Linked DNA regions of Tribolium castaneum. The protein of the gene in region 3 purifies or fractionates together with the protein of the main gene of each other region. This does not show direct contact. Links are inferred from orthologs where the notes say so. Each region holds a gene or a part of one and is shown on either strand. Other genes may lie near its edges. The genes, in order: eIF3g1, 14-3-3epsilon and eIF5.

Region 1 (2,869 bases), on a different chromosome or scaffold from region 3:
AAATCCTATATTCGCATTTTAATTATTGTCCAGTCAAGTTATTACTTATTAATATTAAATAACCAGAAGGTTCTTTGATTGGTTAATAAATCTTTTAGTTAGTTTATTAACCTTTTATTTTATTTTTATTGGTTAGTTTATAACCAAAAACCAACCTTATTTATTTGCTAAATTAGCCAGCAATAGTTAATATTTTGCAGACTTCTTAAACTATTGTCTAAGATTTTTTACCTTTTCAAAAAAAACAAAACAATTAACTAGCTTTAGCAAAGTTCTATCAGGTATTGTATGCCTTTACAAACCTCTCGAGTTAAAAAAACTCAATTGCTTGGGATTTTTTATTTTTCCGAGAAGTTACCGTAATGTTTACCTACCGTTTACGCGAAAAATGCTAAGAGCTGATAGTTTCAACACTTGAGAATTTTCTATATTTTATTTTAATAGTGTACCTAAGACCTGTACCAATCTTCACCTCTGTTCGAATTATTTAAAACTGAAATGTCTACGTATTTTGTTGTATTGTAGGTTTGAAAAAACGCAACATTAGCTAAAGCATTTTTATTCAATACAAATAAAACTTATAAAATACATTTCAATTAGGGTGTGGCTTAGACCAATCCACCGTGAGTATAAGATGATCATAACCGTGTCCATTAAGCATAGAAATGGCTTTAGCAGCGTCGTTCTTAAACTTGAAATGAATATAAGCGAATCCTTTGCAATAACCGGCTTGTTTGTCTTTCGCCAAATACAACTTCTGGATCGGGCCAAACGGCTTCACCAGATCCTCCAAATCAGTCTCAGTGGTAGATTCACTAAGATTGGTGATTCGAATCGCCGTGGCGTCGTCTCTGCGCGCCATATTGAGATTATCGGACTTCCTGACGGCCCCATCTCGCAAACTCGGCGGAATGTACTTGGACCCCCCGGCCTTGCCCGCATCCGACCCTGACGGAACCGCCGGGCCCTTCTTGTCGTCGGGCACTTTGCCCCCGGCCAGCATGGTGTCCTTCCAGGGGCACTTGGAGGTCCAGTGGTCCCCGCTGCAGGTGCGGCACTTGACCACGTTCTTGTCGCCCAGAGCCTTCAGCTTCTCCAAAGCGTCGTCTTCCTGCTTGTTGTCCTCCTCCTTGCTCGTGATGTACTGCATGTACACGTCCTCGGCGACGATCGTGGTGGCCGGGTTCGGGCCAGGCTTGTCGTTGGCACACTCGCCGAATTTCTTCCAAGTCTTGCGGAAAGCGATCGATTTTGAAACGACGCGCTTCTCGATCTTGTAGGTCCGCACGATTTTCATTTTTTTGTCGTCTTCGTTGTACGCGTATTCGGTCACGATCTTGAAGCCGTTTTCGTACACCTCGGTCGGGGGCGGGAGCGACCCGCCCTCCAACTCCACCTCGTCAGCCCAGCTGGACTTGACCTCTTCGGCAACAGGCATTTTTAGCTAATTTTGAAACGTTTTTTTGGAAAATATGGTGCGACAATCACGTTCACAAAAGTTAACCTCAAACTGTCAAACAACAGACTCGCCAACCTTTGGGGAATTTCGTTGCAAATTATTTATTTTTGTTTTTTGCAATACAATTTAATTTTGTTGATATTTAATAAAGCCATGTATTTTAAAATTTATTTAATAAACCGATTAATAAATAAACCCCGACAAACGGGGCTGTCGTGTTACAAACCCACAAACACATAATTACAGGATTCTGTAATGAAATTTTAAAATTGGGAAACTTATTCGGAAAGGTGGCTTTGAAAACCATCAACTACTAGATTTTGTACACAGAAAATGTGTGACTTGTGTTTTGCGTTCTTTTGCCAATAGTTAATGTTTTGCATTCTTAAATTAGTTAAATTTGTGTCGGGAGTGTTAAATTTGCATCCGTTTATTGGCTATAATAAAGTTTTTTTGCTTGTGAAACTTTCTGTCGCAACTGTGTAACGCCGTAAGTATACCTACATTAAAATAGTTGATATTTTGGTTCATGTTGCTTCTGATGATGTGCAGAAATGCAGCTTATTATTTATAAATGTATTGTCGCCAATTGAGACATTTGTGAAAATTTAGGTATCCTTCTAGAAGGCTACGGCTACGATTCTGTTGCTTTAGAAAAAATCTTTCACAGCCTTCTAGAGAAGAAACATTCTGCGCCGCCTTAGATAAAAAAGAGAAATTGAGTTAAAATAACTTGAAATGTCTCTGAAATCCAATAAAAATACGATTATGTATAAAGGGAATGCTAAATTAGATCTAATTAAATTTTCGTCCATTCAGAGAAATATGTAAAAATTGAGCAACGTGATTTTAAAAAATTTGATTTTGCTAATAGAGGATCCCAGCTAAGGTCGTCCTGGACCGATCTGCTTACTGGATGAAACTTATTTTTTATCAAACATAATATCCAAAGGATGTATTCAATGGGTTGCCAAAGAAATGTGTTCCAAACTATAATAAAGGGAGCTAAAAAGAGTCGAATTTTGGTCACATTCCACAGTGTTCTACAGCACATTTTTTAAACTGATTTCCAGGATACATTCTTTTACTCGGGCTGTAGGCGAGAAAGTTTTTTAAAATGCGGTCACTGCTTTATCTAATTCTGAAAATAATTTTTAAAACTGAAAAAAAAATCAAAAAAAAATCTAGTCCTCTTTGAAAATTATTATAAATTATATAAAAGTGCAAAAAAATATAGGGTGTTCTATTTAAAAAAACATATGTTTGCATTTTAGCTAATTTCAAAAATACCCTATAATACCTGAAAATAATTTTAGGTGAGTCAAATTAATTTTCTAAAATTTAAGCCAATAATGGACTTTTTCACATTACTGAGACACCTGTATATAAATTAGGACAATTTATAAAATA
Region 2 (4,180 bases), on a different chromosome or scaffold from region 3:
GAGGTTTAGAGAAAAACGCGTGACACATTCTCGGGTCCTTTTTTTGAGAGAATCATTTTGGTCAAAACCGCATTTCGCTATCGTCTTTTGTTTTCGACTTATAAACAAAAGTTGACATTTTAGTGAAATCTTAAAAAAAAAACATCTTCCTTATTATAAAAGATACACATTTAAAACAAAGACATTATACAGGCACTTTTTGCCAAAGAATTTAATAATGTTATCAGCAATTTTTTTTAATCATTCGTTTAGCTGTAATAACATAAAGTTGTATTTTTTTTAAATGAGAATCATAGTTGACTATGACATTTTTGAAAAGCTTATTTTTTTCTGATTTGATATGTCTATTTGTCTTATTGTTTTCTGAACTCAAAACAACATAAATATAGTGAGATATTTTTATATATTTTTGATAAAAAAAATTTAAATTTTTTAAAGTAGTTGGCCATGGAAAAATTATTTCACATAAAAGGTGTGAATAATCTAGAAAGTTTGTGAACGGTTTTTAAAGTAAAAAATGTGAAATTATCAAAATAAGCTATGTTAAAGTTATTTTCAATTGAATAAATATACGAGCGTCGCAGATTTTAATTACATAAAAAATGTACAGAAAATAGCAAACGATATGTCACTACCATTTGATGTCACTTTTTTATGATTTAGTAAAGTGCAATGGAGGTGACATTGATAATGTTGTATATTTTTTTACTGCAGGTGGAATTTGATTTTGGAGTTTGAATTGTCATTTTTTTGTAAAATAAAATTTTATTGATGCGCAATCATAAGATTTTTCTTCTTCCGTCATTGCATGTTTAAAATTTGAAAATATGTAGAAATACAACGTAAGCTTGCCATTTTATATAAAAACAAATAATTTTTATTAATTGCAAAAATTTGATCTAATAAAAATTTATTATGCTGTTTTTGAATTAATTAGGGTTTAAAAAATCATCAAATTATAATTACTGTTAGGTAATACAATTTTCATAGTTTTAATTACAAATCCAAAATTTTTTCATGGCCAACTATAAAGAAAAAGCGAAATGTTTTGTTTTTTCTTAATTATTTAAATTTAACGTATGACACAAATAGACATTAAATCAGAAAAAAATAAGCTTTTCGAAAATGTCATTGCCAACTATGATTCCTATTTAAAAAAAATATAACTTTATGTTATTACAGTTAAACGAATGGTTGAAAAAAATCGCTGATAACATTATTAGATTCTCTGAAAAAAAGTGCCTGTATAATGTATTTTTTTCAAATGTGTATCTTTTATAATAAGGAAGATATGATTTTTTTAAGATTTCGCTAAAATGTCAACTTCTGTTGAGATTTAAAATTATTTTCTCAAAAAACGAAGGCTGGTTTCCAGTGAGCAAAGGCGTTTATTAATCGGTGTTTCAATTTTCAATAGAATTTTTCGCTTTCGTAACACATTTGTTCATTAAAATGCGTTTTGTACTTTCTCATCATTTACATCACGTTATTTGATTACTCATCGAGCATAACACAAACTTGAAATTTAAACAGGACATTCAACTCAGTCTTCCCTTATTGATAAGAGAATCGATCAGTTGATAAAAATGAATTATCGTTTCTCGGTGAATTACCGGGAATTAAATTACATCTATAAAACTGTCCAAACTAATCCAACCTGTTATAAAACAATGTACAATCAAATGCAATAAAATTGTCCAAACATGGCAACTTGTCACATTTTTTCGATATCTATCAACTTCGACAAAAATGGTGAGGTGGATGAATCACCAGCCAAACGCAATGTTGGTACATTTCCGGCTTAATTAATATTTCACAAATGTTGAATGTAAAAGCCGGTGACATTTTTGACGCATTTTTTGTTAACTGTTGACAAAGTAAAAAAACTAATTTCGTCGTTGCAATAATTTAAGTTCAAGGACTTGACGACATACGAAACTGTCAACAGTTTGTGTTTGTTTGTGATAACACCATCGACTTTGTTTACTTTCTATTTTGTAAAATTAAAAATTGAATAACTTTAGTTGCATTTAAATTTTAAAACAAGTAGGCCATTGTATCGACAATTTCACTCCTTCTGACTGTACTTATTAGTGATTTTTAAATGCCAACTGTGTAACGTAAAACGTAAAAAATTCACCGTTTGTATTAAAAATTGACGCGATGAAAAATTTAGGCAAGAACTCTCCCGTTTTTACGTCTCGCCGTTTCGTGAGCGAACAAATAATTCAATAAAATGTTTACCCCCCAAACCCCCTAAATTTCGCAGTCAAGTTACCCGCCCCCGACGTGCATCTTTTGTTGGTAATTTCGGTAAATCCTCATTCTTCTCTGCGATTATCGATTGGCATTCGCCGCCGCCGTCGCGCTGCCACCCCCGACCCCTGTGCAGGCCGCCCTCAAAAATCAATCCCGTTTTAAAAATGCAGCGTAAAATTCCGCCGCAAATGGGACAAGGTCGGGGGCAGAATCCGCCACCCCCATCACGTGACGCACGTGCAAAACCGGAAGTTACGCAATAGGCAGTGGGCCGGTGTCGCGAAAATTCTGACATTTGGCTTTTTTCCGGCGGGGGCTGCGGGGCCGGGCGCCGATCGATGAGTCACCCGCGCGGAATGCACACGGGGGCGCAGCCCCGCCGCCGCCCGGGCGCGGGGCACCCCCGCGGCGGAAAATGGAGGAGCGTCCCGAGATGATGGCCGTTTGGGCCGGGAGGAGGCCGAATCGGGGGGAAATATACGCACCATCGTAACGTTCGGCCTGTTCTGCCAATTTCGCCTTGTAGACGTTATCCTCCCGTTCAGACATTTTGCGATGATTATCGATAGAAATTTCACAACACTAAAAAACACAGACACTCAACGTACTGCCAATATGGCCGCGCCCGCCACACTAAACCCGAACGCGATCGGACGCACATCGGCTGCCTCCGGCCCACGTCACAATGGCGCCAAATTGAATAAATAATTATTTAATCCTGCTTATCTTTCACACACTGCATGCCACAATAATTAAATTATGCGTCCTAATGGACAGCATTCGATTGACAATAAGGGACTGTTTTTAGAAGCGTCGTTTCCAGATCAGGGGAATTGGACCAATCAGATGCTCAGATTTACGAACTAATGCCAGTTTAAATTTTAATCACTGATTAGAAGACGCTTTACGGCTACTTTGGTGTTAACTGAGTGTGTTTATACAGAAGTAGAGCAAAAATAACAATTTAGGCCACTTAAAAATACAGATAAAAAATTTATGCACAAATAGGGGATTTCCGAAACTAAAAGGTTTAGAGAAAAACAAGACACATTTTCCGGTCCGCTTTTTGAGAAAATAATTTTGGTCAAAACCGCATCTCGCTATAGTTTTTTGTTTTCGACTTATAAACAAAAGTTGATATTTTGGCCAAATGTTAAAAAATTTATATCTTCCTTATTATAAAATATAGACATTTGAAACAAAGACGTTATATGGCTTTTTTTTATAGAGAATTTAATTATGGTATCAGTGAATTTTTTTAATAAATCGTTTAGCTGTAATAACATAAAGTTGTATTTCTTTAAATAGAAATCATAGTTGGCTATGACATTTTCGAAAAGCTTATTTTTTTTTAAACTGAAAATAATATAAATACAGTTTGATATTTTTATATATTTTTGATAAAAAATATATTTAAAATATTTGAAAGCAGTTGGCCATGGAAAAATTATTTCACATAAAAGGTGTGAATAATCTAGAAATTTTGTGAACGGTTATTAAAGTAAAAAAATGTGAAATTATGAAAATAATCTATGTTTAAGTTATTTCCAATTGAACAAATAATACGATCGTTGCAGAATTTAATACATAAAAAAGCAAAAAAATTGAAAACAATGTGTCACTACCATTTGATGACTTAGTGAAGTGCAATGTAGTATTTTTTTACCGCAGATGAGATTTAATTTTGGTGTTTGGATTGAGATTTTTTTGTAAAATAAAATAATAATAAATAAATAAAATTTATTATATTATATATTGACAGGCAATCATACAATTAATAAGATTTTTTTTCCGACATTACTGTAAAGAAAAAGCGAAATCTTGTTATTTTTTAATATGTAAAAATAATGTGTTACACAAATAGACATATCAAATCAGAAAAAATAAACTTCAAAAATATCACAGCCTCCTATGATTCCAA
Region 3 (4,129 bases):
ACGGCTTCTTCCGACACGTCAGCTTGCCATTCGTGTGCGTCGTCATCATCGCCGTTCTGCCAAACGTTTCAATTTCAAACTGTTTAGTCTGCGGTCCGCGTCACTTACCTTGGAATTTTCATTAACTGATGCCTCCAAGCTTTCGTTTTGATCGTCGACTTGACTGGTGTCTCCATTGGTGTCTCCGTTGGCGCGTTTGCTCCTCTTTGATCTCTTACCTTCAGTCAATGACGAGCCCTGAACGGCAGGATTTAAATTTGGCGGATTTTTCAAAATAAAAGTGACCAATTTATGGTTGGATTCTAGCGGGCCGTGGTAGCCACATGCCTTGCAACCTTGAGAAATGGTGCTGCGTTTGGTGGAGACAAGCAGCTCGGTTTCAGGGTTCTCACATTCGGGACACAAAACGAATCTATTTTTTTTATTTTTTGAATTAAAGATATTTTTTCGAGTTTGGTTTACTTACTTCCGGATGAAGCCATCGAGTAGGTCTTGTAGTTTGCCCGCATCGTGCGATCCATTGACGATAAATCTTTCGTTTTTGAAATCGAATTGAGTCTGAGCGCCCAACTCGCAGCCAAAGTACTTCGTCGGATAGGTGGGGGGTCGGCCTAGGGCCTTGGCCACTTCGGCCATATTAACAATGACCGTTTTGATGCCGTTACCTTTGCCCTCCACTTTGGCCATCAGCCGGGGCATCTTGTAGCGATAAAAGACATCGCTGACGCTGCGATTGACGTTGACGCTGCCCATGGTTGTGGTGCCAGTGGCGTACCAACGACGATTTTAATGTCAATGGTTGCGGTGATTTTATTATTTTGATTACTGGTGGTGAAAGAATTTTTGCTGCTGTTTTTCGCAATTCGGACGTCAGTCACGTTTCTCTGAAGGGCTGGAGTTTCCGATGCCTATTTGTCGATGAAAATTTTGTCGTCCTATAACAGGTGGGCTCACGTCGCTGCGAAGTCATACACCTCGCTGGCTCGGGCCCTAAACTCCCAACTATGCTTTTGGTTAATAATGTCTCTGGAAGAAACAATTCGTGTTAATTTCACTCATGCAACGAGATTCAGAATAAGCAACTTCGTTATCAATCTTGTTTTACGCTTAATGATATAAAATAAACCGAAATTGCTAAATTAATCGGCCATGCCGTGCTGAATTTTAAGCCATAAATTTCAAAGATACATAAAAAATTCCATTAAAAAACGTAAAATCATTGTAAATGGTAAATATTAACAGCGTTATCTTTTTGCTTTTAAAATATTTCTATTTAATTTTAGCTATAAAGTTGTAACTCAGAATAAAATGGCCCTAAAAAAACATTTTTAGATCCGACACCGTTAAAGATAGCGACACGGCCTTAATCCCGTACAACTGTTTCTTTACACTTTTTTATTCTCAGCGTTTTGAAGAATTTTTTCCACCGCACTAAATTTTTTGTCTCGTTTCGCCTTCTAGTTTTAGTTCCCCGTAAGTGCATAAAAGCAAAAAAAACGTACTTAGTAAATCTGCAATATTCTGTTTTCCAACTGCATTAAGGGTAAAATCAGCATACGTACGAGAAATTTGACAATCGGCTTGAATTTTTGTACCTAATTTCGTGCGCAACTTAATCGTTTTATGCAAATGTTGTTATCTAACCGGCGTTAGCGTGCTTTCGAGTGAATAAAACGGCACAAATTGTGTAATAAAACTCACATTATGGGGCAGAGCGGCAGCGAACCCGTCAGCAAATTCATGAATTTTTTTCTAAATGACACTGGGTCACTTTAAAAACAGTTAACAAGGAAATAAATCGAGAGACGTGGTGACGTCACGCGCCGGCGCATCCCTATCCCGGAGCCCCGGCTCCGGAAAGGCCCCCATCTTACCTTTAACGCAAAATTCGCATCGAATCTGCCTGTTTTCCGGTTACCATATGGTCTGTTTGTAATCACAACTTGCGGTAATAAACTGGTTGCGTGACCATTGAAAATGCGACAAAACCGTCCGTTTCGTGATAATTAAGTACCATAATAGGTCGGTGGTACATCGAGACGATGAAAAATTTCGAACGGAACTACATTTGACGAAAATTTTTTGACATGTGCCAGACCATCATTGCCTACTTAACTTACGGGTCTCACCATCGTGGAAAGGCGACAGCATGGGCATGGGGGAGGCCGTTTGCCCCTCGGTCGTGGCTTGGAGAGCAGTTATGTTGAGGTTTTTCAGGGCGCGCACCGAGACTGAGGCCACGTAAGCGTCGCGGCGCGAATCGATGTCGTCGAACCGGCGCAATGCCACGGCCATATCGATCACCACAATGCGACACGATTATTTTTATAGCGCACGCCACTGCTCGCCCGGAAAATTACAAACCCCGCAAACACGCCTCCACTGGTTTATTTGAACAGACCGCGCAGTCACGTGACACCAGCGCTGCCTTCGTACAAAAAAAAATAAAAAGCGTGCTCGATTGTTTATGGAAATTGGATGTTACGTCATGCTTTTACTGCAAAAATCGAACTGATAACGCTATCACCTACCTTTGTGGCTTACTAAAGTCATATAAAATGGTAGCGCCCTTCTGGACGATGACTCCCACAGAAGCAAAAACTAAAGAAAAAGGTCCGTTCAAGGGTCGATCAAGGAAAGTGTCCGGCTGGAGTTTGCTGCAAAAACACCGAGTTTGATTTATTTTTAGGCAGAAAAAATAAGCAAAAAGTATGCATGTAACGTGATCTCACCTTTTATTTGTAGCACCTTCCACGGACCATCTATGACCGAATTAACGCTCAAACAATTAGACGACACGTCAGACAAAGTACTAAACTAATTAAAATGCCAGTTTGAAGGCACAATTGGGGGAAAAACCAACAACACAGCTAAATTGCTGCTACTTTACTGAATCGCCATATGCAGATAGTCGCCTGACTTTTCGACGAACTCACAGGTGCGCACCCGCAACCGGACAAAACTTAAATCCCTAAATTGACACGAAAAAATCGGCTAAAACGGGCTTTGCCCTCTAAATTTGTCCACAGTCGTTTCGGCAAAGTGTTTAATTAATTACTGGGGTGTGTTTTGCAAGCCAGAACCCTGATTTGTGTTACTTTAACCCGGCTTAGTGGCACCCGGTAGGTGGCGCCCCTGATTTGGCAATCATCTGTCACTCTTCTAACACTGAGAGAAAAAGGAATGAGAAGAGAGTTATCAAAAGCGCAGCCATTAATGTCAGAAGAAAGTGATTGCAGTGTCAAAAATAGCCCAATTTGAGTGTTTTAACGCTTGGCTGCCAAATAAAGGTGAGTAAGCGTCCCCCCGATCGTTTGGGGGCACAGTTCAAGTGTCGGTGTCCTTCCTTCCGTTGGTCAATTTTTGTGATTTATTTATGTCGCAGGTTACGCTATGGTCTACTGATTGCCATAGCAGGTGAGCAGTGCATTCCCGTGGCATGGATGATAGCAACACGTAAGTATTTTTCAATCGTCACGCTTGGCAAAGTAACGAGGAAGCGCCCCTGTAAAAATCGGGCGTGAGTCACGGCTCGGAGTGTACGCCCCCGCCGTCACACGTGTATTGGTTTCCGATCGAAAGGGGTGCAAATTTCTGATGGGGTTCGTCGGGCTATGGGGCGCAGGCGCGGCGTCGCGACGCAGTACGTTTGATGCACCGACGTCAGTTTTCGCGTTTTTACCGAAAGTGGCACACCCTTTTTCGAGCTATGGGGTGGAAAGGGAAGGCGGCGTGATGTTCTAGGGGGCCTTATTATTGATTGCGGGGGTGATCGTTGACCAAAAATATATTTTTGCATTGTCTCATATTCCGTCTTGTGATAACGCCTTGCACTTTTACAATAATCAAAAATATAAATAAGGTTTTTGTATAGACGCTCAATTTAAACGATCGTGAGGTGATGAACGAGGTGCTCATTGGAATTAAGAGGACGCATTCGAAAAAACATGTCTAAAACGATCAACGCGTATAGGATGTAAGTTGGTTTTGTTTTCAGTTCAAGCTTTTGTGTTCTTGTGGCGGTCTTGCTTGCCTTTCGTTTGTGCTACTTGAAATCCGGCGTTTTTTCTACAAATTTCTAACCTAATTGTGGCATAATTCCGCCGCCACTTCCTTGAAGTTGTCGTTT

Evidence for each region.
Region 1: the proteins of eIF5 (region 3) and eIF3g1 purify together in Homo sapiens (affinity purification with western blotting; 3 studies listed by BioGRID and IntAct, with this or other methods). This does not show direct contact. The link is inferred for Tribolium castaneum from reciprocal best matches to the Homo sapiens genes EIF5 and EIF3G.
Region 2: the proteins of eIF5 (region 3) and 14-3-3epsilon purify together in Homo sapiens (affinity purification with mass spectrometry; 3 studies listed by BioGRID and IntAct, with this or other methods). This does not show direct contact. The link is inferred for Tribolium castaneum from reciprocal best matches to the Homo sapiens genes EIF5 and YWHAE.

What each region holds. Positions count from the first base shown.
Region 1 is NC_087395.1:17,787,840-17,790,708, reverse strand, and holds eIF3g1 (eukaryotic translation initiation factor 3 subunit G), read right to left. Parts: upstream 1,556-2,869; 5' UTR 1,439-1,555; coding exon 593-1,438; 3' UTR 544-592; downstream 1-543. UniProt on the Homo sapiens protein: RNA-binding component of the eukaryotic translation initiation factor 3 (eIF-3) complex, which is required for several steps in the initiation of protein synthesis.
Region 2 is NC_087401.1:11,229,099-11,233,278, forward strand, and holds the start of 14-3-3epsilon (14-3-3 protein epsilon), read right to left. Parts: upstream 2,912-4,180; 5' UTR 2,809-2,911; coding exon 2,745-2,808; intron 1-2,744. UniProt on the Homo sapiens protein: Adapter protein implicated in the regulation of a large spectrum of both general and specialized signaling pathways. Binds to a large number of partners, usually by recognition of a phosphoserine or phosphothreonine motif.
Region 3 is NC_087402.1:3,658,251-3,662,379, forward strand, and holds the start of eIF5 (eukaryotic translation initiation factor 5), read right to left. Parts: upstream 2,851-4,129; 5' UTR 2,733-2,850; intron 2,658-2,732; 5' UTR 2,532-2,657; intron 2,314-2,531; exon of another isoform or gene 2,121-2,313; intron 2,105-2,120; exon of another isoform or gene 1,875-2,104; intron 1,777-1,874; exon of another isoform or gene 1,702-1,776; intron 1,027-1,701; 5' UTR 754-1,026; coding exon 467-753; intron 413-466; coding exon 109-412; intron 57-108; coding exon 1-56. Other genes in the region: Klc (kinesin light chain), read left to right, coding at 3,948-3,976.